Linked DNA regions of Notamacropus eugenii. The protein of the gene in region 4 interacts with the protein of the main gene of each other region in a biochemical or structural test. Links are inferred from orthologs where the notes say so. Each region holds a gene or a part of one and is shown on either strand. Other genes may lie near its edges.

Evidence for each region.
Region 1: of the proteins of RIGI (region 4) and RNF135, one has a biochemical effect on the other in vitro, tested with the Homo sapiens proteins (6 studies listed by BioGRID, with this or other methods). The link is inferred for Notamacropus eugenii from reciprocal best matches to the Homo sapiens genes RIGI and RNF135.
Region 2: of the proteins of RIGI (region 4) and RNF125, one has a biochemical effect on the other in vitro, tested with the Homo sapiens proteins (3 studies listed by BioGRID and IntAct, with this or other methods). The link is inferred for Notamacropus eugenii from reciprocal best matches to the Homo sapiens genes RIGI and RNF125.
Region 3: of the proteins of RIGI (region 4) and E3 ubiquitin/ISG15 ligase TRIM25-like, one has a biochemical effect on the other in vitro, tested with the Homo sapiens proteins (5 studies listed by BioGRID, with this or other methods). The link is inferred for Notamacropus eugenii from reciprocal best matches to the Homo sapiens genes RIGI and TRIM25.

The regions. Positions count from the first base shown.
Region 1 is NC_092873.1:311,647,914-311,655,771, forward strand, and holds the start of RNF135 (E3 ubiquitin-protein ligase RNF135), read right to left. Parts: upstream 3,004-7,858; 5' UTR 387-3,003; intron 1-386. Other genes in the region: ADAP2 (arf-GAP with dual PH domain-containing protein 2), read right to left, coding at 7,466-7,491.
Region 2 is NC_092875.1:258,756,273-258,763,438, reverse strand, and holds the start of RNF125 (E3 ubiquitin-protein ligase RNF125), read right to left. Parts: upstream 3,016-7,166; 5' UTR 2,912-3,015; coding exon 2,745-2,911; intron 1-2,744. UniProt on the Homo sapiens protein: E3 ubiquitin-protein ligase that mediates ubiquitination and subsequent proteasomal degradation of target proteins, such as RIGI, MAVS/IPS1, IFIH1/MDA5, JAK1 and p53/TP53.
Region 3 is NC_092873.1:368,989,274-368,996,809, reverse strand, and holds the start of E3 ubiquitin/ISG15 ligase TRIM25-like, read left to right. Parts: upstream 1-4,519; 5' UTR 4,520-4,615; coding exon 4,616-5,245; intron 5,246-7,536.
Region 4 is NC_092872.1:122,835,176-122,842,059, forward strand, and holds the start of RIGI (antiviral innate immune response receptor RIG-I), read right to left. Parts: upstream 3,006-6,884; 5' UTR 2,835-3,005; coding exon 2,729-2,834; intron 1-2,728.

The DNA.
Region 1 (7,858 bases), on a different chromosome or scaffold from region 4:
TGATTGCATCAATAGAAATGACAAGAAGATGCATTGTCATCTGTTTTACCACTGTTCCCAAATGAACAGGAGGCATTTTTATATGATTTGAAGACAAAATTTCCAATACAAGATCTGTCATCTCTTCCCATTAGAATGTGAACTTCACAGATGAGGGACTATCTCCATTTTCTATTGGTATCTAGCACTTAGCATAGTGGTTTACACATGGTAGGTACTTACCATATGATTTGTCATTCATTCATTCATTAATCAATGGGTGAATTGTTGTCTAATCACTGGTTAGATGATATTAAAGAGATGGTTACTGGCTGATTGATATTGGGGATATATTGATGGGGACTTGTGAATGATAACATCAGAGAAGAGATCCCTCCCATACACACCTCATTATCCCCTCTTGAAAGAAGTTGGTTGTTGTCCTTCATGCTCAGAGAACCAAAATGACATCACCATGATAAAGTGAAGTTTCAGTATGTCCGACTGTGGCTGATCAGACCAACAGGAGCTCAGAATGCTCTACCACAAGTTGGGCACAGATAGTCTGTGTGAACATTTGGGGTGGTTACTCCAAATCTGCACTTCCTACATTTTCTTTGTGCTGTTTCAATTCTGCTTTGCTCATAGAGCACAGCACCTTTTCTGATGTAGGCATGCCATGCTGAGTGGTCCTGTGCCAGTGTTTCCCATGTCCCACAATCAAATCCAAAGTTCTTGAGATAGACCTTGAGTGTCCATATATTGCTTTTCCTGATCGCCATATGATTGCCTGCCCCATGCGAGTTCTTCTTGAAAGTAGTAATCAAGTTCTGGGGACCTGACCCCCATTAAGGGTGAGAATCAGGAGAGTAAGCCCAGAGCCTCTAAAACCTGAATTCCCAGAGAACTCAGTACGTCCTATTAACTATATCAAATAGTAAGGAAAGTTAAAAAGCAGAAACTGTAAATCCTGTGCCCAACTGCCATAGCCTCATGGATGAGTCAAGTCATTGCTGGTGCCATTTTGTCCCCAGTCCATCCCCTTTCCAAAAGGTGGTATGAGAAGGAAACAGAGGATGACTGGCCAGGAGGCAATGGGCCAAGATAATTGTACCCTACTGTCCCATATGCCTAGGGCCTGCCCACACTTTCCACACCCTTGGCTTCCTCTGCCAAGAATGAAATCAGAGAGAGAAAAGGAACCTTTTACCAAATGTGTGTGTGTGTGTGTGTGTGTGTGTGTGTGTGTGTGTGTGTGAGAGAGAGAGAGAGAGAGAGAGAGAGAGAGAGAGAGAGAAAGAAAGAAAGAGAGAGAGAGAGAGAGAGGACAGGGGACTAGGCAATTACCTAGTTGGAGATCCAGCAGACATGAGAAAATAAGCAAGATCATTAGAAGCAATTACTGTAGAATCAGCACCAGAATTACAATGTTGAGATTATCACCTGACTCTGGGGCTAAGATTTTTGTCTAGTCAGAGCCTGATTTTCTGAAAGTGTCAAAGGGACACACCCAGGATGGTGATCTCATTCCCCACTCTCCTACCTTGGGGGAGCATGTAGTGATTCCAAAGCTGGTCTCTGTTTCTTTAAAGTTTATTGCATGTTTCTGTTTATGCAGTCTTTAAGAGCCAGCATTAAAATAAAACCATGATTAAACTCTGCATTATTGATCTATATGTGCCTCAGTTGTTCAAAGGCAGCTGAGAGGGAGGCAAACACACACACACACACACACACACACACACACAGAAATAGATTTCTTTCTAATCAGAAGGGATTTTCTCAGCTAGTGTATCAAAGCTAATCAGAAAGGGATATTATTGTTATATGTTTTTCTAGCTTCCTCAATGCAGAGAACAAGTAAATTTATGCTCACTTAGACAAAGAATGAGCTCCATTCAGCTTGCAAAATTCAATTTGATCTTCCTAATGTACAGATCTGACTATGTCACTGCACTCCCCCATTCAATAAACTCCAGTCGCTCACTTACCTCAAGGATCAAATGAAAATCTCTGTTTTGTTTTTAAAGTCCTTCATGACCTGACTCCCTCATACCTCTCCAGTTTTCTTATACCTTTCTCACCTCCACATATTCTTCTATCCACTCACTGACCTCCTGTTTCTTGGACATTCTATCTACCAACATTGAACATTTTCAATGGCTGCCCCTTATATCCATCCTCATCTCCATATACATCCTGGTTTCCCTTGCCCTGAGTACATCAGCATTTCCAGAGGTAGAGGCTATGGGCAGGAATAACAGTAGCAGCAGATGCAACAGTTTCAGCAATTCTCACCCACCCAGAGACAGGAGTTCTCACTGACCAGAGACAAAAAGGGGCTTGGATAACTGATCAGAAAGAGATCTGAGGAAACACGGCTACTAAGCTCAGGAGTGGGTGCTGCTTGGCAACTCCATCACCTATTACCCAGTTCTGGGACACAGTTCCAGAGTGGAGAGGAATGTTTACGGTCACAGGGAGCAAGGGTCCTGGTTTCAGTTCCAGGGCGGAGAGAGATCAGGGCCCTAAGTTTTGGTAGAAGTTGTAGATTGAAAAAGAGGAATGTTACTGCTTGTGGTTGAATGGGAGCAGGGGCCCTTCTGAGTAAGGAGCAGAATGCAGATGACCCCATCTCTTCCCTGATTACACCACCTTGGAAGCACAGAAAAGTTACAGACTCCCAGACCTAGCTGTTAAAACAGCAAGGCAAAAAGTCCTGAAGGTCTAGACAGTGATATCCCTCCTCTCCCATGGGTGAACAGAGTCAACTCTAACATAAAGCTGAAAATCAAGAAATAGGCTTGAGAAATGAGCAGACAAATAACCACAAAAAGAACCTGACGATCAAAAGCTATTATGATGACAAGGGAAGTTCAAGACACAAACTTAGAAAAAGTCAATAACGTGAAAAACATCTACAAACAAAGCCTCAAAGAAAATGCAGATTGGATACAAACCAACAAGAATTCCTAGAAGCACTAAAGAATTTTTTTTTTAAAAAAAAAGAGAAAAAGTTTTATTTTTTAAATCAAAAAAGAAAAGTTGAGGGGAAATTGGGAAAAGAAATTAGGGCAATGCAAGAAAATTATGAAAAGAGAATTAATAGATTGTTTAAAAGAGGGACAAAAATACTAAAGAAAATAACTACTTAAAAAGAAAAATTGGTCAAATGAAAGAGAAGTACAAATTCTGGGCATTTTCAATTTTTGTACCCCATGCTTGGAATTCCCTCCATAATCATCTCTAGATTTTCCTGACTTCCTTGAAGTTCTAGCATCACTGAAGAAAATAATTCCTTGAAAATTGGAACAAGTTAAGTAGAAGCCAATGATTCCATGAGGCATTAAGAAATAATAAAATGAGGTCAAAAGAATGAAAAAAAAAGGAAAATATGAAATATCTCATTGGAAAACAACTGTCTTGGAAAATAGATTGAGGAAAGACAATTTAATAATCATTGGACTACCTAAAAGCAATAATTTAAAAAAGCCCAGCCCATATTTTGAGAAATTATAAAGAAAAATTGACCTAATATCGTAGAAGCAGGATGCAAAATAGAAACTGAAAAATCCATTGATCACCTCCTAAAATAGATCCCAAAATAAAAATTCTCAGGAATATTACAGCTAAATTCCAGAGGTCTCAAGTCAAGGAAAAATCCTCAAAGCATCCAGAAAGAAATTCAAATATCATATAATCCCCACAGTCAAGATTACATAACATTTAACAGCTACACAATAAAGGAGTGGAGGATTTGCAGTGCGGTATTCTGGACGACAAAGAAACTAGGATTACCACCATGAATAATTTACTTTAAGGCTATCCTGATGAAAAGACAAAAGCTAAATAGAAAATCTGACATTCAAATATAAGACTCAAGAGAAGCATAGAAAGGTAAACATGAGTGAGAAATAATAAGAAATTTAGTAAACTTTACCTCCCTATATGGACTATACATGAATATTAACTATTTAAAATCACTGTAGACAATCTTGTGGTGAGAAAAATTCCGAGAGACAAACGTTCTGGGTAATAAGAATTGATTTATTAAATAGGTCACAGCCAATAATTAAGTTAATGATCAATGATTGAGTAATCAAAGATGTGAAAGGGAAACTGAAACACCTTAATTCAGATGTGTTCCTTCTGACAGGGAATTTTCCTGACAAATGAAACTCAACCCTAATTGATGGACATTTAATAAGGAGGTGGGCTAGAACTCCTCAGCATCTCCCAATCACTTCATAGTAGAGGAGGAGCAGAAAGGTCAGCTGAGAATGTGACCTGATTGTGAGGTATGAGCCCCCTTTACCAATGTGGGTACCCTGATCAGTTTCTCTCTAATTTGGTTTCTCCTTCATGAGCTGGGTCACCCTACACTCCAATGAAGGGCTTAATGAACTAGAGAAATAATTACTATTATTTCCTCCTCTAACAAATTAAGGGTTTATATGAAGAATCTCTAAATTTCCTTTCAGCTTTAAAAATTCTCAGATTGATTGCTTGCAGTCTTGGGGAGGAGTGAAAGGGGAGAGACAGGAGGAAGGGAGAAAAAAATTGGAACTCAAAATCTTATAAAAGTAAATGTTGAAAACTATCTTTATATGTAATTGGACAAAAATACTATCAAGTGGGGGAAAATATTTTAAAATAAAGGTAAGAATTCTCTAATTTGTTTGTGATAGCTTCCCTGCCCTGCCCCAGTCAGCCAGTCACCAAGCATTTATTAAAGGACTACTGTGTGCTGGGCACTGTACTAAACTCTGGGGATACAAAGAAAGGCAAAAGACAGTGTCTACTCTTAAGGAATTCAGTCTCATGGGGAGACAACATGCAAATAACTATGTGCAAACAAGCTATGAACAAGACAGATTGAAAATAATCGACAAAGGGAAGGCACTAGAATTAAGGTAAATCAGTAAAGGCTTCTAAAAGAAAGTCAGATTTTAGCTGAGACTTGCAGGAAGCTGGGGAAACTGGGAGGGGAAGTCAGAAGGAAAAGTATTCTAGGCCTGGGAGATACAGTCAGTCAAAATACCCAAAGCTGAGAGACAGACGGGCTACTTTGAGTGAGAACAATGAGGTCAGCGTCACTGGTGGGCACAGGATGAGACAGGGAATAAGGTGTAAGGCTGTAAAATGGGGGGGGGGAGTAGTTATGAAGGGAGTTTTTTAATTTTTTTGTATTTGCTTATGGAAGTGTTTGGGAGCCTCCCCCATGTTTCCCATGGTGTTACATTAAATAATGGCTCACATTTAACATACACCACTTTAAGGAGATGGTGTGATGCAGTAAAAGGGGGGCTGGGTTTGGAGTCATAAAGGCTGGGTTTGTATCCCAAGCCTCTTCCCCATTACCTGTGAGACCTTGGATCAGTCCCTTAATTTCCTTAGCTGCATAATGAATTAGAGGAGGTGGCTGCTAAGGATCCTTTCAACTCAAAATCTGAGACCTTACAAGGTTTGCAAAGAGTGACATATTATGTCATTAGATGAAATAAGGTGCCATTTACTTAGTTTGCCTTATTTAACTCTCAGGATCCTGGTAGTTAGTTCAATAAATATTTATTGTGTCTTTCTATGTGAACAAAAACCAAAGACTGCACACTGAGCCACACATGGCCCACCCTACCCCCCTGGCAGACACTGAAAATCGAAAATGAAAAACTGACTCAGTTGTTCAAGGAAGCATTTTCCAGCATCCTCTGAGTCTCTTCCTTCCTTCACTTCCAAACCTAAGAAGGCTACAACGGGAAGGCTGCTAAGTAAGAAATTTTGTTGAGGGCAGCACTCCCCCCTCTGGAGAACGTGATCTAGTCTTCCAGAATCTCCTAGCTTCAAAGAGTAAAGTGAAGTGAGGTTTTCATTACACCTAGAGGCAGCTTGTGCATTTGATCTATGACCTCGGCCACAGTCCAAAGTGGCTGTTTTTGCATCTTGGGAAGCCGCAGAAAATTGAACCTAAATCCATCTATTTAAGATAAATTCAGTTGTTGGGGAGGAGGAAAGACCTTGGGACACAAGGTTCTGTGGATACACCACCCTATGTATATGTGGGAGAATCAGAAACCCAGGGTGGAGACCTCAGGAGGATCAGGGTAAGCTCCCGCTGAAGGAATCAGTATAATGCACCAGAAGGGAAGAGTCTCACCTCATGTATGTGGGTACTGGTGGGGAAAACACAATCTGGTGGCTTCCCATTTTAACTAATTAATCTTACTAACTAGATGCTAAGACTAGCTGGTTTCACCTCCTGAAGAACTTCAAGTGTAACTGGCACGCTCTAAATTTTGATGCCCTAGGGAAAAATCCCAATCTCCCCATTCTAGTTATGCTTTTATCTGTTCTATTTTCAGCAGATGTTAGATGTGCTGTGATATCATCAGTTTTGAAATCCCCTGGACACCCACAACTGCTGCTATCACTTAGCATGTATTTGAGTGATCTGAGACAATTTTAAAGTGTGCCTGCAAAATATAATTAAATGTTATCTACTCTTGATTTTTTTATGGATTCAGGGTCCAGATTCTCTGCAGCCAGCAAGCACTCCACTCTCTTAGCATCATTGTTCTCCATGCCTTCATGGTACCAAGTGAGCTGTGCCCTCAAAATTTTTCTGCATAGTATCCAACTTATTCTATAACTCAACTTATTCTACAATCCCATTATCTACTTATTCTGTATGGTATCCTCCATAGCCCAATGCTATGTGCAAATATCTGCTTAACAAATGTGCTTTCAGAAGGAGGAGGAAGGAGGAAGACAATGCTCAACTGGTGAGACTCTCTTCTGCCCTGGATAATGAAGACTGTAGATGGCAAGAGAGATCCCTCAAGTTTACTGAAGATCTCTAAGCAGGACAGGAGAGCACCAGACAGGTTTCTGATTTTGTCTGGGACAGAAGAAACATAAGCCCCAGAGGTTCAGGCATCAAGGAAAGAGTTTGTAGCCCTGCAAGGTGGGGAGTGGGGGGATGGTGTGCTGTTTTCAGCTAGTTTCCTGCTTCTTAGATGTGGCAATCATTGCGGGATTGGATTCTGGCATTACTTATGTTCTTATTGTCCTTAGAGTCTCTGCCACTTAACTGGTAAAGGGAAGAAATCTACTCAGTCACCATCAAGATTTACAGAGACCAAGGGAAAGAATGGTGAGGAAACACCCAAGGGGAAGTATTGGGAGGCAGAGCAAATTTTCATCTGTTATAGCTGTTCATCCTTCATTTGAGAAGACCACAAAGGTGATGTCTTGACTTGCGCATGAATTGGGTTTAACTGCTGTCTTGCCTTTTGTCTTGTCTGATTTCCATCTAGAGCAAAGCCTGAGACAAGAAAACCACTGACCACAGTTTGTCTTCTTCTAGTCCTTCCTGCTACAGACAGAGGTTATGCCCCAAAAGTGAACTTCTCCTTCCTGAAGTGACCACCTGACAGGTCAAAGTCAAAGTTAAACATGGTGAGAATTGAGCAAGTCAGCGAAGTCCTTGTCACCTCTGTCCAGTGGCTGCTGTTGCTGCAACAGAAGGAAAAGAGAGAATAATGGGGATCTTGTATATAGAAATGACTGTGGCAAAGTAGAACTACCACTAGTGAGACAGAAGGAAAGAGAAAGGGAGAAGAGAGAAACAGAGAGAGAGAAAGAGAGAAATTGAGAGAGTGGGGAGAGAAAGAAAAAAAGAAAAGAGGAAAGAGAGAAAGAAAGGGAGGGAGAGGGGAAAGGGAAAAAGCTGTAAAGGCAGAAAGAGCGAAAGAGAGATGGAAATAAGGGGAGATAGGGAGAGAGAAGAAAAAAGAGAGGAAGAGAGGTGGAGAGAAACAGAGAGAAAGAAAAAGAGAGGAAAGAGAAAAAGAAATGGAGGGACGGAGAAAGAGAAAAGGAG
Region 2 (7,166 bases), on a different chromosome or scaffold from region 4:
TTAACTACTACCACCCCTACTCCCCCCAAGCTGAAAGCATAATATTTCTAGTATTTCAGGAATACATGCCCATGACACCATATACAAAGGTGAAAAAGATTCTTACTATATCTACAGGCCAAACCCTGGGAATCTCTTCAGCCTGTTTTTATAAGTTGGAGGAGGGAGGAGGGAGCAGAGATTTCAAATACTTCTGTGTTTACAAATCAAATACTCTATGGAACATGCCCTTTAAAAAGTAATTTAATTCTACATATCTCTATCTACATCATATCATAACTTTGCTTAGAAATTATCAGTTCAATAATAGGCCAAATTAAATCAGTCTGTCTTCTTCTACACTCTTCTCCAATTTTCCATTTTCGCATCTATTTTTCAGGCTGTGTTTCCTGAAGTTAGAATGCTTTCCCCCTTGCCTCTTCCCAAGGTAAACTGCTATCCATAGTCTTAAGCCCAATTTAAATGCCAGCTACTCCATGAAAACTTCCTTGATCTTTAGGTAATTAGTAAGCACTTCTCCCCCTCTTCTCCACCCATTGCTTGTGCTAAAAAAGTAAATTATTTTAAAAAAAGATTAGATTCATTAAAAACAAAAACATCTCATACCATCATAACTGAAGCAATGGGTGGGTGTGGCAAAGAAACCCACAGTGACTTGAGCTAAGTTAAGATATCCCAAAATGGATTGGGGTTTTTCCTCACTAGATTTTCAAGGAAAGGCTACATCTAGTTGAAGAGAGGATTCTTGTGAGGAATGGGCTGGACTAGAATACAGCCCACTCCCACTCCCACCCCACAGTTCCTATCCAATCTGGAGACCTTTATGTGGCAAGATCAGTTGGTTGCATATACCCCTCTAGCTAAAACAAACGGCCAGAGTATGTTTTCATCCTTCTTTGTGTTCCCAGGGCACGGCCCTTAAAATTAATGCTCTCTGATTGAATGTGATAGTGGAGTTTGGATGGTAGAATCAAATAATATACTTGGCACAACTGCTGAGCTGTGTGCATCTAAGCACCAGTAGGGATCATAAGTTTAGAGCTGGAAGAGATTGACCTTAGAAGGTCCCCTCACCATACAGATGAAGAATTTGAGATGCAGTGATTTGCCCAAGGTTGCATAGAGCCAGGATTTGAAGTCACACTCTCTGGCTCCAAACCAAGTGAGCTGGCCACTAATTCCTGTTGTTCGGTGGTGTCTGACTCATTACCCCATTTGGAAGTTTCTTTTAAGCAAAGATATTTGAGTGATTCGCCATTTCCTTCTCCAGCTCATTTTGCAGATGAGGAAACTGAAGGAGAAACAGGATTAAGTTATTTGTCCAGGGCTACTAGGAAATGTTTGAAGTCAAATCTGAACTCTACGCCGGGTGCTCTATCCACTATGCCACCTACTTTCCGCTAAACAGCCTACTAAAGGCCAAGAACTTCTAACCTGCATTTCCGATCTGGGCGGCTAGGTGGCGCAGTGCCTAGAGTCAGGACGACCCGACTTCAAACGTGACGCTGGCTTACCGACTGTGTGACCCTCGGCAAATCACTAAACCTCCATCCCTCTCGTCTCAGCTTCCTCATCTGTAAAAGGGGGATAATAACAGCATCTCCGTTCCTGGGTTGTACCGAAGATAGAGGGGGATATCTGTAAAGCTTTTTGTAACGACTGAAGCAAGATATAAGACACATAGATATAGATATACACACATATGCTTACATATGCATATATACACTTATTTAGATTACCCATTAAGGAATTAGAAATCATGTAGAACAACTGACTTATATAAAGCTCAGTCGGAGTAAGTGGTTTGAAAAAACCCACCATTTAACCCCTACTTCCCATTAATCATATTTTTTCTCTTTACTGCTAGAAGACCTTGACCTTTCAGGCTCTTGGTAGTTTCCTTTAAAAAGACTCATCCCCAGCAGGAGGTCTTTTGTTTACGCCAGCTCCCAAACTCGAAACTAACCGCAGCCTAACTTTAACAAAGTAGCAAAGCGAGACACCCGGGCGCTACAACTCCGGTAACTTCACCTTCGGCAGGAGGGAGGGGGGGACAGCGGCGGGGGCTGGGGTCTGCTCCGTCAGTGGTTTTCGCCACAGGAGGAAGCGCTGGGGGCGTTTCAGGACACGTGCGCAGCCCCAACAAAACGCGACCCGTCTGGGTGTCGGGGGCCCAGGGAGGCACAGCGCCAGCCCGGCTCTGTTTACTTGGAGAACTGCGCTTGGCCTCAGCCAGCCACTTCCTACTTGCAAGGTCTAGTTAGGCTTGGCCCTAGATAGACGGTTGCCCTGGGGGGTCCAGAAGACACCGGCAACTCCATGCGGACCCAGAACCGAGCGCGCACCCGGGGCTGGGCTGAGTAGCTACCGCGAGCATCCTGGCTAGCCCCGGAGCACCGTCTAGCGGGACCGGACTGGTCACCGACCCGCTAACGTCCTCAGAGCGCTCAGATTTGACTGAGACGCAGCAAGTAGTCGATCTGGCTCGCCCTCTTTCTCCCAATCTTTGTGCCACCTTCAGACAAGGCACTTTCCCGCAGCCGAGGCCCGCCGGGTCCCGGTTTTACAATACCACACCTCCAGCAGAAGCTCCCCATCGCAGAACGCGGCTTTACTAAGTTACAGCTCTTAATGCTCTCCACTGACCTAGGACAGACCCCTTCTTTCTTCCACCTGGCTTCTTTCTGGCCCGGCGGGCACCGGCCACAGCGATCTCGCACCCCGGGCCGCTCCCCCTCACTTACACGTGGCCGCAGCGGGTCCGTACGGGCTGATGCAGCACTTCGAGGCAGACCGAACAATCAAAGGAGGTGACCGGCAGCTCCACTTCGCCCCTCCCGGGCAGGGCGGACGGGGTGGCCCTGGCAGCCGGGGCTGCTCGGCCGCTGTCACTGCTCAGCGCGGAACCCATCGCCTGCCTCCTCTCCAGCCCGGACAGCTGCTGCTAAGCTGGGTGCCTTCGCTTCAATTGTTTTGTTGTCCTGCGGTTAAGGAAGGAAGTCCCAGCCCAGCTGGGATCGCCGCCTCCCTGCCCCCACAGTCCTGCTCTCCGGAGCCAACCCCCGCCCCTTCTAACCTTCCAAGCCGAGACTTTCGCCAGTAACTCCGCCAGTCAGAAGTTATCCTCTTCCTCCAGCTACCCCCAACCATGGGGAGGAGACGGCGGCCGCAGCCGCGAGCACTGCAGTGTCGTCCGCTCCCAGGAGGCTTGAAACCTGAAACCCGAACCGCACAGAGGAATAGCAGCTGCCCACTGTTAGGTCTTCCTCTCCCAAACCAAGAGGAAGGAGGGATGTGAAGCTTTTTTTAACCTTCGGGTTTCTACTTGCCATTACTCTGTTCAATACATCAGGAACCCTATTCAAGCAAAGTTCAGGGTGTTTGCATACAGTCCTTAACCACTGTGGGGGGTTGAGGCAAACAATTTTTAGCAGTTAATTGTTCTAATACTCCTGAAACTGGAGTTCAAAACCATGACAGGTATTAGTAATTTAGAGTCTAGATGGGATCTATCAGGGTAGACTGCAACTAACTGAGATATTTATTATAAGGCCTAAAATATAAGAACCATATATAATACAGTTCTTAATAACGACATTAACTGCACAGTAAAGTGCTCCTTACTTGAGGGCAGGGACTGATGTGAAGGGGGTGAAGAGGGGCTGTATTTTCAGCACTTAGCACCTTCCCTTGTATGTTCTGTAAATTTTCTTGAATCAGATCTGCAGGAGTAATGGATAAATTTAAAGAGGACAATCATATTGATCCTAGTCTGTCTAAACAAGAACCCCGTCTATAAAACAGCCATCAAACGGACAACTATATATTTGGAAACCTCCAAATAAGGGGGAATCTACCCCTCCCAGGGCATTCTGTTTTACTTTTGAATCCAACTGTTAGGATATTTCCCCCTATATCGGGCCTAATTAAAATGAAATAATATGTATATTTAGCACAGTGTCTGGCACATAATAGGTATTAAATAAAAGCTAGCTACCTATTGACTGATTCTCTTCTCCAGAGAACACACACATACATACATGAGGCTGCTAAGTGTCACAGTGGAATAGGACTCTAAGCCTGGAGTCAGGAAGTTCTGAATTCAAACTCAGTCCCAGATACTAGCTGTGAGGCTGGAAAGTTATTTAACCTCTGTGCCTCAATTTCTTTAACTGTGAAGTAGGTTTAATGATAGTACCTACCTCCCAAGGTTGCTGTGAGGATCAAAATAGCATATTTGTAAAGCACTTAGCACAGTGCCTTACACATAGATACCATTTTATGAGTGATTTTTCTCCTCCTCTCTTTCCTCCTCCTTTTCATCATCAATATTATTCAATATTACTTGACTACATTGGTAAAAACGTGGCCGCAGTGGTCCGTATGGGCTAAGGCTTTGGAGTCCTTCTGACACATATTGTCTCAATGACCCTAACAAATCACAACTTCTCAGTGCTCTGCTGCTTCTGTTGCTGTTTCTCCATGAGGACCATAACATCAGGGAGATGATGCCAGGACATGCAAATGAATTGGATTTAAGTGAGGGAGGGCTGTGCAAAGTCACCAGTTTCTTACCTAGAGCTCCCTTGATCCATGAGCTTAGAGATCTACTTTCTTTTCTGTTCCCTCCCCACTAACACTTCCCTAGAATGTAGACTCCTTGAGAGTAAGGCTTGTTTTCTTCCTTCATAGAGTCTTGTTTGCTTGCTTGATCCTAGCCATCCTCCTCTGGATTGATCTCCAGTTTTCACTGCCCTTCCTAAAATGTGTCTCCAAGAACCAACTGAACACAATCCTGATGATGTGTGATCAGTGCAGAGTACAGTATAATACCACATCCCACATGCTGGAACATGTATCTTTTAAAGCAGCCAGATATCTCATTACAATTAGTTAATTAATAGTTTAAATTATAAACCTGCTTGAAGGCATTTGCTTTATAAGAAGTATCTCTCAAAAAGGTTCTGACCCTGGAAGGTAGTGTGGTATAGTCAGGGGTGCACTCACCAATGTTAAACAGCTGACTCTGGGGGGAAAAATATGAAAGGCACACTTTGAAGTGTAATCTCTATGGTTATAACTTTCTCCTTCGTTTTCTTAAGTCTAGTCTATCAATACAGTAATAAATCTAGCTTTGATTTGTAGCATTTGCCCATTTCCTATTTGAGTATGAACTAACCCATCCTGAAAATTTAACCTCCAACTCTCAAGAGCCTGTTCCAGCACACACCTGGGGTAGTAGATAGAGGTAGCTTCAGAGTCAGTTGGGAAAACAGGTTAAAGTCCTTCCTATGATACTTAATGCACACTAGATATATGATCTTCCTCAAGTCACTTTAACTTCTCAGTGTACCAACAACTCTCCAAACAATGAGTTGTAGGGTAGGTGGAGGCCTGCACTGGTGGAGGCCGCCAGGAATTCCCCATATGGAGGAAATCACAGACCTAGTTAAAAAAAAAAGAGCATATGGACTTTTTGATTGCCACATCACACTGTTGAAGTATATTGAGTTTGTAGTTAATCAAACCCCCCAGATGATACATATTTTGCATCTCTCCCCTTCTCTTTAACTACAAGACCACTACTCTAGTTCAAGACTTCATTGTGTTTTGTTTGTACTATTATGATGGCCTCCTAATTGATCTCCCTGCTTTTAGCCTCTCCTCTCTCCAATCTATCTTCCACACAATTGTCAAAATAATGTTCCTAAAGCATAGATCTGAAGATGTCACTTCTGGCCAAATATGTTCAATGGCTTTCCATCACCTATAGGACAAAATACAATTTCCTGGTCTGGCATTTTAGGTTCTCCACAGTCTGTATCAAACCTGTCTTTTCTGCCTTATTTCATATGATTCCCCTTCACAAATTCTGTCCCAGCCAAACTGGACTGTTTTTTCCTTTCATCTCCAGCATTTCTTCCTCTATCCAGCCCTGCCTCCCACCATACCTGGACCACATACCATTGTTACCTCTACCTCTTAGAATCCTTGTATTTCTTTAGGGTGTACCTCTGGTGCTTTCTCTTCTGTGAAGTTTTCTCTGAGTTTCCCAATTCCCTTTCAAAATTATTTTGCATTATACTTATTTATGTATGTAACACAAATCTCAAAGCCCATTTATATGGGGTTCATCTGTGGAGACTGAATACTCAATGCTTCATGCCCATCTGAGGGGTAGAGTTGGTGAAGACTTCTGGCTTCCATCTTTGGGAGAGAAGATCTGAATTCTCCCCTCCCTTCTCCCTCTCCCACCCATTGACAAGGCAAGAAGAACAAAGTCAGTGTGTGTATGCATGCGTGCGTGCGTGCTTGCGTGCGTGTGGTCATGGAGAACTTGTTTCTTCATCCTTTAGAGTTGAGGTTGCTCATTGTGTTGATCAAAGTTCCTAAGTCTTTCAAAGCTGATTATCTTTACAGTATTGTTATGATATACATTGTTCTCCTGGTTATGCTTCCAAGTGAAGTCTTTTTTGCATCATTCATACAAGTTTTCCTTCCCACCTTTCTTTTCTGCCTCTGGGCTCTTGATTTCAGATTGATTTGTGTCTCTATCCCATGTCTAAGAGGCATTGCTTACTAAAGGGCAAACTGTCAGCGCAGTAGGTAGTAGAATGCTAGTTTAAGATGTTACCCCAACTTGACAGGGTTTGTCTTTTAATAAAGAATTCTGACCAAAAGCAGTGAAGATACAAACTGTTAAATCTCTCAAATACTCCAATAGATCTGTATTCTCATCCATCTGCCTAAAAGGCAATCCATCTTTATCTATCCATGTTGTGAATGTCATTGAATCTAGTCATCCCTTGTTCTTGCCAAGTGACTAAAATGTTTTTTGTCTGCTTTTCTTTTTCTGCTCATGCATTTTTCTGATGGATGAATTTCACCAGTGGAACTTTATAGGGGAGATTCATTGTCCCAAAGTTCCCAAACCATCTACTCTCCCTATTCCTCCTGAGGTCAAACCGTATTTTTTACTTGGAAATGGATTAGCCTCTAAAAATAAAATAAAATAAGTCCTTGTAAGGCCATGAAAAACTTTTACAGCATATCCCCAAGCCAAATTTTCTTGTTTTTCTTTTTCCCAACCTTATCAGCTTACCTGTTGAAGTTTAAAGGGACTGGGACCCCGAAATAGCAACACTCAAGTCCTGCCCAAATGAATT
Region 3 (7,536 bases), on a different chromosome or scaffold from region 4:
TGGGACACCTGCCATCCACATTTAAACTTGCAGGTTGAGTCCTCAAGGACTTTGTAGGTCCACACTCCTAACACCATATAATTCACAAGTTCCCAGCATACATTTGCCTTTGCTTCTTCTAGTCTCTGCTAAGATCCCGCCTCCTGCAAGAAAACTTTCTCAGACCCTTTTAATGCTAGTTCCTCTAAGACTGCCTCCCATTTACACTGTATATATTTTATACATGCTTAGCAGTTTGCATGCTGTCTTCTGCAATAGATTGTAAGCTCCTTGAGCATGGACTGTTTTCAACTTTTATATTTCCACTGATTAGCCCAGTGCCTGGCACATAGTAAAGTGCTTACCAGTAGAAGGTCCAGATGCATCAATTGACATGAAAATTTTATTATAATTTTGCTTTGAAATTTTCACCCCATTTCTATTTTTATTTTTATTTCTTGCCCTATGGGAAAAAATGTGCTGTATCAAGTGACTCAGCTTGGTCCTTTAAGGTATCCTTAGATTTGGATCCTTCTTAATATATGTTTGTTGACTTGAGTCTAGTCAGTCATAGTACATAATTTGCTCAAGACAAAGGCATTTACTGAAATGATATCAGTTACAGCATTTCATAAACCTGGAGAATATTTCCTACAAATATTCAAGGTGTCAGAGGGAAGAAGAAATACCTACAGAGTTGGTAAATGAAGTACACACAAGAGGAATATGGGTCATCAAGATATATTCAAAGTGGGGATTGTAGTGGGGCTGAGGGCACCACTGATGGTTGATGTCCTCCAATTCCTTTCATTAACCTTGGTCTCTCAGGCTCTGCTAGAATCTTATTCAGTGATTGACTACTGACTCCAGCTTTGGGCTAGACTAATATCCTGGTCTATGGTACTATGATGCCTTTCTAGAACAAAATAGAGCCCAAGCCATAAGACCAGTAAGAATGTCATGTCTGGGGACTGCCATCTCTTGAATGCAATCCACTCTCTTAGCAGCTAACTCTTGATTCTTGTCCCTGACACATTTAGCTAGACTTTGCTGGACTCTCTTCTGCCCTGGACACTGGTATATGTTTCCGTTTCAAGTTGCTATTACCATAGGGAAGCATATACCTTTCTTACCCATCCACTGCCATTTTATAATAGGAGCAAGGGGAAAAGTAAAAAGCCACCTCTGAAGCTGAGCTCTTCCTCCATAGTTGTCTTTCTTCTAGACTGACATACCTGGCTAGCTTACTCTACAAATAGTTTCAAAGGTCAGGGCCAATCTTTTCAGTCCATCCCTAGATTTTGCAATGAGTATCAATTACCTTCATGCAATGACTCATGCTCTGTAATCCTACCAGGCTAACTGAGCAACTTCCTACATCCTAAAGGAGTGACCCATACTTAGAGCTATACTTAGGGATGACCCCATATAGTCACACAATTTTGCAAAGGGATTTCCTTTTAATGGAGTTTAAAATTGATTACTTTTCGAAAAAACAAATGGAGCAATGATTTTGGTCATTGTTTCATCATCCCACCTCAAAAGAGATCTCCCTCAAAGTTTGGTTGACCAATGGGGGTGTGCAGAAGCAAGAAGCATTAGGAGATTCTAACTAGGACTTCAAGTTTTGACTCAATCCCACATTATTTTCTCATTTCTTCCCTCCCACTTCCATTCCCTTATTTATTTTTTATGGTATGTATATATCATAGAGGCAGTGTGGCTTTGTGGCTAGAGAGCCAGCTTCCACTCTAAGGAAAATCTGTGTTTAAGCCCCAGCTCTGAAATATGCTAGCCACGTGACCCTGGGCAAGTCATTGTATCTCTGTGTGTTCTAGGTGACTCTTCTTTCTCTGTTTCTCTGTATCCCCAGGGTATAGCAGGTGTTTAATATATACTTCTTGATTTGACACTATAAATAGCAGAGAATGGGCTTCCTTACAATGCAGAGGGAGTTTCCTCACCAAGTGATTCTCTATGTCAGCATTCCCTTACATAGAGATAATAGGATCATGAATCCAGATGGACCTACCCCAATCCTTTCTTTTAGAAATTTAGACATTTTTTAAAGATTATTTTAGAGATATTTAGGGAACTGAGGCTCAGATTAGCAACTCAACAGGGTCAGAAAGGGTTGGAGGGGATCTGAAATCACAGCCCTCTGATGCCCAAGCTAGTGTTCTCTCCAGTGTAACATAGCTAGCTGCCTCCTATTCCATCAAGGCAGGGAAGAAGTCCTTTCTTGGATAGATTTCTGCATACATATGCCCAGGAAAAGACATGAGAAAAGGATGAAAAATGGACTGAAGCAAAGATACCCCTTTCCCAGTTTAAATGGGCTGCCTAGAAACAAAACCAGCAGTATTAGAAGTAAGGGAGAAGTCTGAACTACACAGTGAAGAGTTTTGGGTCTGGAGTCAGAGAAATTTTAATCCTGACTTTGCCACATACAACCTGTACACCATTGAGTGAATGGCTTCACCTCTCTGGTACCAAGTTTCCTCTGGGTACAATGAGGAAGCTGGATGAAGTGGTTTATTCTAAGTGCACCTCCAGTTCTAAATCACAGGCATAACCTGAGTTACTAGGGAGGAGGTTTGGGATGGCAAAAGAGTACAAGGCTGGGAAAGTCCTTGCTGGCCCAGGGTGGAAAAGACTGTCAGGGATTGGTTGGGGTCTCCAGACTCCACTTTGTAGCAATTCACAGAACAACTGAGTGAAGCCATCTCTTCCTTTCCTTAGCCTCCCATTGGGCAGATGGATCTCTGCCATTAGGGTTGTTATTTTGTGCTGAGGAGTTGTCCTAATCATTCTTCCTCTGTTGAGGTAACGGCTGGCTCAGTGAAGAGACCCCTGACCAGTGGGACATCTCGAGTCTCAGGCACGCAGTGATGAGGCGGGAGACAGAGATGTAGCAAGCTCCGTTTATTATTAGCAAGTACAAGCCTTATATACTGTTCAGCCTTTTAAGTTCCATACTTGTGGCAAGCTAGTGATACATTTACCTCCTTAAGGTACAGATACCAGTCTCACGACTGCCTTAGAAAGTCTTAATAAGTACCAGAATGTTTACTCAAGACTGAGAGAACTGGGACTATTGTGTAGGGTTCCGGAGGGCCGAACCAACAACCTTTGCTCCATTTGCACAATCAAGTGGGCTTATCAGGCCATCATGTGCTCCTGAAACCGTTGTGGACCTCTAGGGTTCCCTACATTCCTCCAACCTATGAAAGCATAGTAAAAGCCTCCCTCTTTAGCTCAAGAGAAATATTAAGGAATAATATTTCTCCAACCTAAAAGTCTTTCAGACTTTCCCTTTAAGAGAATGGGTAGAAGAAAGGTTAAAGGACTGGATTAAGAATGAGAGCCAAATTTAATTTAGGTTGAAATAAGAACCTAGCATCCCCCTGACCTGCAGTGAATGGCACTGCACCTAAGGGCAGTGTCCTCTTTTCCATTCATGATTAAGGTATAGATGGAGGCTGGGAGGGAGAGGAGGGGGAAGTAGGAAGTAATCTTTTTCAATCCTTGAAAGGAAGGGTCCAAAAAGGAAGTGAGTAGTGACTTCTGGAAAGGTAATCCTAAACTGTGCTTTAATGCATTGTGATCTTCTGCTTGTTCAAGATTTCTATAAATTCTACCCCATGTCATCTTGTGGTACAGAGATGTATCAGAGTATATGACAATATGGACAACTCTCCCTCTCTCCAAGGTGGAAATGCCTTAAAGTCCTTCATAACTTGGCTCCCTCCCGTTTCTCTAGTCTCCTGACATTCACTCCCCTGTGCATACAATTCGATCTAGTGACAAGGGCTTCCTCGATGTTGCTTGCAGGGGATGCTCCATCTCTGAAGTTCGCATTTTCATTAGTGACAGCCTCCTTGCCTGGAATGTTTTCCCTCCTCTTGCCTTCCTTAAATTCAAGCCCTACTTTCTGCAAGAAGCCTTTACCACTCCCCCTTAAGGTTAGTGCTTTCTCCTCGCGATTACCTATATGGATATAGAGAGATAGTGTATTTATCTACATACACACGCATATATTGTGGTCGTCCTTCCTTGCCAAAGAGGGCCATGGCATCAGAGACATGATGACATGACTTGCACATGACTTCGTTTTGAGTGAGGGAGGGCTGTGCAGGTCACCAGCCTCACTTCTCCTCCAGAGCCATCTGAATCCAGTGCCCAGATATTCCTCAGGATGCCTGGCGAAGACCCAGGATGCGCTGGGGGACCTTGAGCCCTTTGGGCCATACGCATGTATAGGCGGCATTAGAATATACTCTCTTCAAGAACAGAGATTGTGGGTTGTTTTGAATTTTTATTTTTCCCTTTCTGTGTATCCCTAGCGTTTAGGGACATCGTCTGACACATAGTGGGTGTTTAATAAACGTCTGTTGGATTCGCTAGAGCACGTCAATGAAACACAACTCTTTCTGGCTTGCGTGTCTCAAAGGCGGAATGTTGATATTTTCCTTCCACAACCCCCAGGGCCAGCCCGGCCCTGCAACTCCTCCCCACTCCCCACGTGATTTCCCGTAACTCTCGGGGTCCCCTCCCCTCCGGCTAGTTTCATTTCTTTCTCCCCCGAGCCCGGAGAGTTTCTTTTCTTCCTCGAAGGCGTCGGGAGCGGAGCGCGATGGCCGAGCTGGAGCCCCTGGCCGACGAGCTGACCTGTTCCATCTGCCTGGAGCTCTTCCAGGAGCCCGTTACTATCCCGTGCGGCCACAACTTCTGCTCGCCCTGCCTGGACGAGGCGTGGGGCGGCCAGAGCTCCAGCTTCTACTGCCCCCAGTGCCGCCAGTGCTTCCGGGAGAAGCCCCAGCTGAAGAAGAACACGGCGCTGTGCGCGGTGGTGAAGCAGGTGCAGCAAGCCCAGAACCTCCGGGATTCGGGGCAGCCCCTCGGTGCGTCCCGAGATGGCGAGTCCTCGGACCTGCCGTCCGCGAAGTGGGCGCAGGCGAAGGAGGACACCGCCGGCAGCGTGGCCTGCGACTACTGCTTGCGGGCTCCCGCCGCCCAGACGTGCTTCACCTGCATGGCATCCTTCTGCCAGGAGCACCTGCGGCCGCACCTGGACAACCCGGTGTTCCTGAGCCACGACCTGCAGCCGCCCGTCCCAGACCTGGCCAGTCGCAGGTGCCCCGAGCACAGCCGCCTCCGGGAATTCTTCTGCTCGCAGCACGGCGTCTGCATCTGCAGCGTCTGCCTGGTGGGGCACAAGACCTGCTCCCCGGTGGCCCTGGACGTGGCCAGGACCCAGCTGAAGGTGGGCAGAGGGGGAGCGGGGAGAGGTCCGGCGGGGGGGACGCCTGGCAGCGGTTCGGGGTTAGCCTCAGGCCCCTGCGGGATACCGGTAGCTGCGGCCCAGCTAAGTTTCAATTTCCCGGGGCCGGGATTAGTTTCTCTTTCCTCCCTTTCCTTCTCTTTCCTTCGAGCCTTCCGAGGGAAGAACCTGTAGTTCAGCCAAGAAACAGGTAGGGGGCTTGTGGATGTGGGGGTTCAAGAGAGAGGTTCGAGAATCTAGGGGCACCTATTCTCCGCCTACCTGGGCGGCAGGGGCGCTTGGGTCCCTTTTCTGTGCGAGTGTGTCAGTTTCTTGGTCTGTAGGAGGAGGCGAAGTCATTCCTGCCCGGTACCCAGACTTGTTAGGAGAAAAGGCCACAGTCCACGAGAGAGGGCTTCCTTGAGGGGGTTCAAGCCCTGCCTCCTCTATAGTGGCCGTGTCACCCTGGGCAAGTCTCCTATTCCCCTCCGTGCCCTGGGTAATTTACAGATTGCTGGGAAAATGCTATTTTGCTTTGCTAGCGGGAAATTCCTTCCCCAGAATTTTTTCAGAGAGGTCCTAGGTGGATCCGGGGTCCCTCCCTCCCTATGGTCAGTATTGCTAAATCTGGGGAACCGAAGGTCCCAAGGTTATTTTGAAATATGTGATGGGGAGTGAGAGGAGGGTCTCCTTTAGTTTCCCAGTGGCCCGGATTGAAGTGACTGCCCTAAAACCGTGAAGCTGAGATGAGAAACTTTGTTTCCTTCAGTCTTTATTGGGTAATAGATTTTAGAGAGCTGGGATTTCAGAAGGCATTTAATCCACCCTCATTATTTTACAGATGAGGGACTGAGGTCAAATGACTTGACCAGGGTGACACAGGTAGCAAATGTTTGAAGTGGGAATTGAACTCTGGTCCTCTTACTTGGAAGCCAGGGTTCTTTCTCCTATTGCTTTCAATCTTCTGGTAAAACCAGAGGATTAGCTTAGGTGATCCCTAAGGCTCCTTCCAGTTCTAACTCCTATGATCAGAAATAGAGAATCAACCAGGCTTACTGTAAATCTATGTGTCTGTCTGTCTCTCTGTGTGTCTGTCTCACACTGTCTCTGTCTCTTTGTCTTTGTCTCTCTCTACCAGGCCAAAAATGCCTCAGAACTTCTCTCTGTGGTGTTTTGTTTTGTTTTTTTGGACATTATCTGTTGTATCTTGTAGTAAAAAGCGTATGCTCCTTGACATCAGGAACGCTTCTGGTTGTTTTTCTTTGTGCCTGAACCTCCTGGGATGTAGTAGTAGGAATCTAAAGATTCTTGAATTGAACCATGATGAGGTCTTTCAAGCCCAGAGCATTTTTGTAAAGTCTTCGAACCTTATGAACTCTAGTCATCATGTACTCTCCCTTTTTTCTTTTCAAAAATATTTTTATCATTTGTTTTTTAACATTCATTTTTTAAAATGTCAAATTCTAAAATCTTTTCCTCCTTCCCCCAGCCCATCTGAAACCCATTGAGAAAGCAAGCAACAAAACCCATTATACTTGTGAAGTCATGCAAAAAGATACCTTTTCCTTTTTAATGATGAAAATTGGTTCCACCATACACATTACTTTTTCCTTAATCTGAATCTTCTTGGGGTTTTGAGGAGGTTTTTGGTGGCAGCATTTTTTTAAAATAATATTTTATTTTCCTCCCTGTAAAGACAGTTTTTAACACTCAATTCTTAAAAATTTGAGTTTCTAATTTTTTCTATCCCTTCCTCACCTCCCCCTTCCCTGAGTTGTTAAGCAATTTGGTATAGGTTATACATGTTCAGCGCTGCAAAACATATTACCATGTTAATCATATTGTGAAAGAAGACACAGACCCAAAGGAAAAAAAACCATAAAAACAATATAGAAAGTGAAAAATAGTATACTTGCATCTGCATTTGGAATCAATCAGTTTTCTCTGCAGGTGAATAACATTTTTTATCATGAGTCCTTTGGAATTGTCCTGCATCATTGTATTGCTGAAAAGAGCCAAGTCATTGATCATGACAGCTGATCATTGTACAGTATTGCTATCACTGTGTACGTGTTCTCCTGGTTCTGCTCAGTTCACTCTGCATCAGTTCATACAAGTCTTAACAGGTTTTTCTGAAATCAGCCTGCTCATCATTTTTTTATAACGCAGCAATATTCCATTTACCACAACTTGTTCAGCCATTTCTCAGTTGATGGGCCACTCCTCAATTTCCAGTCCTTTGCTACTACGAAAAAGTAGTTGCAGTTAAAATTTTTGAGTTCCAAATTCACTCC
Region 4 (6,884 bases):
CTACTAGGAGTATTTTAGTGCCTTAGACTATCACAGGGCTTGGGAAGAGAGGCAGAAAGATATTTTGGATATTTTGAGTTTGAGATATCTACAGGTTATCTGGTTCAGTAAGTACAATGAGCATTTGGTGATGAGATTGGAGGTGAGGAAAAAATTAGGGCTGGATAAATAGGTCTGAGAATAACCCATTAGAATTAATGAGATCACCCAGACAGACAGTTAAGAGAGAGAAGAGTACACAGAACAGAACACAGTAAGTATGACTTAGAGAATGTTGTAACAAAACAGTCTAGAAAGCAGTGGTCTGAAAAGTAGGAGAACCAGATGAGGGCAGTGTAGAAGAAACCTAAAGAAGAGAGTGGCTCGGATAACAGAGCAATTGGCACTATCCAAGGCTACAATCACGGGAGGTGGGATGAGTGCTAAAAAAGGTTTGGAAGAGCTGCTGTAGTGAAAGAGATGGTGAATCAGAATTCAAACTCTGACTTCAAATAAAATGTTCTCTTCATGTCATTTTGCTTTTAAGAATTACCATGATATGACAGCTGCCTTCTCCCTACAATCATATGTCTTCCTTTTTCCTGCCCTCTAGCCCAGCTACTCAACTACTTAACACAGGCACCTTGAATGGTCCCTGATTACCTTTGTGTTTGAATTCCCTCCACTTACTGAGTCAAATACTGCCTTGGCCTCCTAGCCTACGCAGCTATTGTCAATGAATATTCAACTATAAGGCAGGTGGGGCAGCTAGGTGGTTCAGTGGATAGAGCACCAGGGCAGGAGTCAGGAGGACCTAAGTTCAAATCTCACCTCAGACACTTGACACTTACTGTGTGACCTTGGGCAAGTCACTTAACCCCAGTTGTCTCATCCTGGCTCATCTCCAATCATCCTGATGAATATCTGGTCACTGGATTCAGATGGCTCTGGAGAAGTGAGGCTGGTGACTTGCACAGCCCTCCCTCACTCAAAGCAAAGTCAAGTGCAACTCATGTCATCATTTCTCTGATGGCATGATCTTTGGCAATGAAGTATGAACACACATAAGGCAAACAGGTGGTATATCAACCAGGAAATGTGGATCAAAAGACAGAAAAGAATTTCTATTAGACATGAGATGCAGTATGATATAGCAGAATGAGAACACTGGATTTAAAGTCAGAAGGACCCTGGGTTGACTATTTTCTATTTATCCTGTATATAACTTCGTCCTCTGTAGTTATTCACATGTTGTCTCCCCTATTAGATTGTAATCTTCTTGAGGACAGGGGCTCTCTTTTTAGCTTTCTTTGAATTCTTGCCCACTTCTCCCCAGCCCTCCCATCCACCTCCAACCACTTAGCATAGTGCCTGGTTCTTAAGAGGTGTTTAATAAATATTCATTGACTGGTTGACTGCTGGGCCCAGTCCCAGCTTTATAAGCTGTATGATTGTGAATAAGTCACTTTAAATTCTGAACCTCAGTTTCTCCTTAGGTGGAATTTGCATTACTTCCCTCAAAGGATTTGTTTGTCCTATGTTGGGGGAAAAGACCATGACATCAGAGAAATGATGATATGACTTGCACTTGACTTTGTTTTCAGTGAGGGAGGGCTGTGAAGATCACCAGCCTCACTTCTCCTCCAGAGCCACCTGAATCCAGTGACCAGATATTCATCAGGATGAGCAGCTGACCCAGGATGCACTGGGAGACCTTGGGCCCCTTAGGCCAAGGTCTTTGCAAGTAATCACTTAGGGTGAGGAAATGCCCATTCATTGCATAGGCCTGTTTAAGAAGAAGCCAGGGCATGGCCCTTTAATGAGGCCAAGAAAAAGAAAGACTTCAGGCTGGGAGGGAAACAGCAACAGTTACTATTGATAATCACCGTAAAGCTAAGAAGGTCCAGAAGAGCCCTTAGGCAGGGGCCCATTGGCAGCTTCAGAGTGCAGTAGGTTTAAGGTTTCAGACAGGATAGCGAAAGGAAGGGGAGGGAAGGGAAGGGGAACGAAACTAGCCAGTAAAACCCAAGTCAACTGGGAATGTTTTGACCATCCAAATTTACCTTTGGAGAGGAGAAGGAAGGGGAGGAGGAGGCAGACAGGAGAGGAGGAGCTCAAGTTACCCAGCTAACTGGGTTCCCATTCAGCCAGCTATACCCACTCACAGGATTGTGTTTGTCCTTTGTTGCCGAGGACCATGCCATCAGAGAAATGAAATGAAAGGAACTGTGACAATCAATCACTATCATTATTATTAAACCGTTATTAAAAATGCATCAAGGGGGAAAAGTTGCCTATAAAATTTACAGTAAATTTGGAAACACACTAACGAATTTATAATTTAGATTGGCCACAAGCAAGCTGTGCAATCTGAGGAGCTTCTTTTTATTTCTCTGGACACTTTTCACAACTTTAAAAGTGAAAGTCTGGACCAGATGGTCTCTACCGCTATTCCCTCGACCTCCCTCCTTTTACCCCGGCCCTTCAACACAAGTAGTGTAACTCGAAGTAGTAACTTCAACAAACTAAAATCAGGGAATAAACCTCACCTCCAGATGTCCCCGGAAACCACCTGCCCCTAACCCTAACCCTAAATGCTGCAGGCTTGCAGATCTGCGTGGCAGAACGGGCTGTTAAGGCTTAAAGGATCGGGTTAGTATCAAAACAACCTAAAGGTCCGAGCTGGGCAAAGGTTGATTCACTGCAGATGGAGGGCACAGCCAACCTGCGGGAAGGGGCAGCATCTCACCTTGCGAGAACCAGTCAGTCATGTAGTCCAAAACATGGGTGGGGTCTAATATGTTCTTTATGTGGTTTGCGAAAAACTCCAGGTTTCTCTTCTCTTCTTCGGTCATGTTATTGTCTCCTTTTTAGCATCCGAGGCAGCTCTACGGGCAAAGGGAGAGGCGTCCCACGAATCTGGGGGACGGCAAAGAGTGAAACAGGGAGTTCACCCAGCTGTCAGGGGAGGGACGGGGATCGGAAGGGTCGAACCGCCCAGAACAGAGCAAGAGGATGGTTCCAGTAAATCAGCTGATAGCAGACGTTGCTGTGAGCTGGGAGGGAAGCTCGTTAGGGAAACAGAAAATCGAAACTGCAACTAACCTTGAAGAAAAGAAACTTAGATTTGTCTCACTCAACAAGCATGGGGTGTAAAAATCCTTAGAAGGCATTTCAAATCTGACAAGAATTTATTAATCACCTATTATAGGCTTAATAAGACAAAAACTGCCCCCCCCTCTGTAAAATAAGGGGGTTAGGAGTAGCCTGTTTAAGCCTTTAATAAAAAAAAAATCATCAGTGTACAATACCTGGCAGGTAGTAAGTACTTAATATCAACGGTTCTGAACCTGGAGTCTGCCAACTCAGCTGTTTTTTCTTCCATGTTTTGATAATCCTATTTCAATATAATTGATTTCCTTTGTGCCTTATCTATTTTATTTTTTATTTTTATTTTTTTAACATTTGAAGACGTTTCTCTGAGAAGGGTTCATCAGGCTGCCAAAAAGGCCCATGACAAGATAATTGTTATGAGATCTTTTATACTCAGAAGAGGGTCAGTCCTCAGTCCTTGCACTCAAAGAGAAGGATCAGGGAAGATTTCATGAAAGAGGAAGCACTTGAGCTGAGTCTTTTTTTTTTTTAATTTTAATTTCTCTAACTTTTCAGTATTCATTTCCACAAAACTTTGGGTTCCAAATTTTCTCCCTATTTCTCCCTTCTTCCCACCACAAAACGCTGAGCATTCTAATTGCCCCTATCACCAATCTGCCCTCTCTTCTAACATCCCTCCCTTCCCTTATCCCCATCTTCTCTTTTGTCCTGTAGGGCAAGATAATTTTCTGTACCCCATTACCTGTATTTCTATTTCCTAGTTGCAAGAACAATACTCAACAGTTGTTTCTAAAACTTTGAATTCCAACTTTTCCCCATCCCTCCCTCCCCACTCATTCCCTTGGGGAAGGCAGGCAATTCAATATAGGCCATATCTGGGTAGTTTTGCAAATGACTTCCATAATAGTCTTGTGTAACCATATTTCCCTCCATCCTATCCTGCCCCCCCATTGCTTCTATTCTCTTTTTTGATCCTGTCCCTCCCCAAGAGTGTTGACTTCAAATTGCTTTCTCCTCTCACTGCCTTCCCTTCCATCATCCACCCCACCCTGCTTATCCCCTTCTCCCCCACTTTCCTGTATTGTAAGATAGGTTTTCATACCAAAATGAGTGTGCATTTTATTCCTTCCTTTAGTCAAATGTGATGAGAGTAAGCTTCATGTTTTTTCTTTCACCTCCCCTCTTTTTCCCTCCACTGAAAAGTCTTTTACTTGCCTCTTTTATGAGAGATAATTTGCCCCATTCCATTTCTCCCTTTCTCCTCCCAATATATTTTTCTCACCCCTTAATTTCATTTTTTAAAGATATGATCCCATCCTATTCAATTTACCCTGTGCTCTCTGTCTGTCTCTCTCTCTCTGTGTGTGTGTGTGTGTGTGTGTGTGTGTGTGTGTGTGTGTGTAATCCCATCAACTACCCAGATATTGAAAAAAGTTTCAAGAGTTACATGTCTTTCCACGTAGGAATGTAAATAGTTCAACTTTAGTAAGTCCCTTATGACTTCTCTTTGCTGTTTACCTTTTCATGCTTCTCTTGATTCTTGTGTTTGAAGGTCAAATTTTCTTTTCAGCTCTGGTCTTTTCATCAAGAAGGCTTGAAAGTCCTCTATTTCATTGAAAGACCATTTTTTCCCCTGAAGTATTATAATCAGTTTTGCTGGGTAGGTGATTCTTGGTTTTAGTCCTAGTCCCTCTGACTTCTGTAATATCATATTCCATGCCCTTCAATCCCTTAATGTAGAAGCTGCTAGATCTTGTGTTATTCTGATTGTATTTCCACAGTACTTGAATTGTTTCTTTCTAGCTGCTTCCAATATTTTCTCCTTGACCTGGGAACTCTGGAATTTGGCCACAATGTTCCTAGGAGTTTCTCTTTTTCAATCTCTTTCAGGAGGTGATCGATGTATTTTTTCAATATTTATTTTGCCCCCTGGTTCTAGAATATCGGGGCAGTTTTCCTTGATAATTTCATGAAAGATGATGTCTAGGCTCTTTTTTTGATCATGGCTTTCAGGCAGTCCCATAATTTTTAAACTGTCTCTCCTGAATCTATTTTCCAGGTCAGTTGTTTTTCCAATGAGATATTTCACATTATCTTCCATTGTTTCATTCTTTTGGTTTTGTTTTGTGATTTCTCGGTTTCTCATAAAGTCATTAGCTTCTATCTGTTCCATTCTAATTTTGAAAGAACTGTTTTCTTCAGTGAGCTTTTGAACCTCCTTTTCCATTTGGCTAATTCTGCTTTTTAAAGCATTCTTGTCCTTATTGGCTTTTGAACCTCTTTTGCCAATTGAGTGAGCCTATTTTTAAAGGTGTTATTTTCTTCAGCATCTTTTTGGGTCTCCTTTAGCAAGGTGTTGACCTGCTTTTCATGCTTTTTTTCCATCTCTCTCATATCTCTTCCCAGTTTTTCCTCCACCTCTCTTACTTGATTTTCAAAATCGTTTTTGAGCTCTTCCGTGGCCTGAGACTATTGAATATTTATTTTGGATTTTTGGGATACAGAAGCCTTGACTTTTATGTCTTTCCCTGATGGTGAGCATTGTTCTTCCTCATCCAAAAGGATGGGAGGAGATATTCACCAAGAAAGTAACCTTCTATAGTCTTATTTTTTTCCCCTTTTTTGGGCATTTTCCCAACCAGTTACTTGACTTTTGGGTCCTTTGTCAAGAGTAGGGTATACTCTGGGGACCTGTAAGATATCAGTTCCTCCAAGGTGGCACAATCAAGGGTGTACTGGTCTGGGTGCGGGGAAGGAATTTTGTGCCCAGAATCTTAGCAGAGTTTCCTCTCCACAGGTACCTGACCTCCAGTTCTGCCAAGCTAGCACTGGGGGTGGGGGTGGGGGTGGGATTCAGTCAAGCTGTGGGGGCAGGGCCACCATTCAGTGGGATTAAGACCAGCTCACTCAGTGTCCCTTGAGCTGAGTCTTGAGACAAGGATTCTGAGAGATGGAGAGGTGAGAATAGAGCTTTAAATGTGTTTTCCTTTCACCTCTTGTCACTTCTACCCTCCAACTTCCTGACAGGTTAGGCTTCCCCACCTCTCCAGATTCTTTTTTGTTTCCTCCTTGAAGTACTTCTTTTCTGTATAAGACTATGATTCTCCACAATTCCCTGGAAAGTCGAGAGGTGTTCTTCAGTTTCTTTCAGGAGACAGACTGATTCTACACTTTATAGCTACATAGCTATTTCTTGGCACTGGCAGAACCAAGAGTACTTTCTCTGGAGGTCAATGCTGAATTCTCCCTGTCTGCCACAGTTGGGAATTTAGTTTCTCAGATTTTTTTCAATATTGTCAGCTACTGTGATGGCTAATACTAGCAGTGAACAGCTGGCCCAAGCTGTCTGTCATGAACATTCACTGAGCATTGTACAGCTCCTGAGAGTTTAATTGCAAAAAACAAAACTTCCTGATTTGCTGTGGATTAGCAGCCATTATAGCATTAGCTGCAGATATTCAAAATTATTAGATCATGCAAAGCCTTAGCACAAACTCACTGCCCATGATCTAAGTTAAGTGTCCTGTGATCTCCCCTTTCTCAAACTCCCACTGAGTAATGACATGCTTATGAATGAATGAAAAGACATTTATTAAGAACATATTCTCAAGTACTATGCTGAACACTGGGAATACAAATAGAAAAGTTAGATAATCCCTGCTCTTGAGGAGTTTACAGTCTAATTGGTAGAGATGACACATAAAGGAAGGATCAGCTGCAGGGCAGGTGGCAATGCCTAGGTGTGGAGAACTGAGTAACCAGACATATGGTAAAGCCTAGGGGTCCTTTCC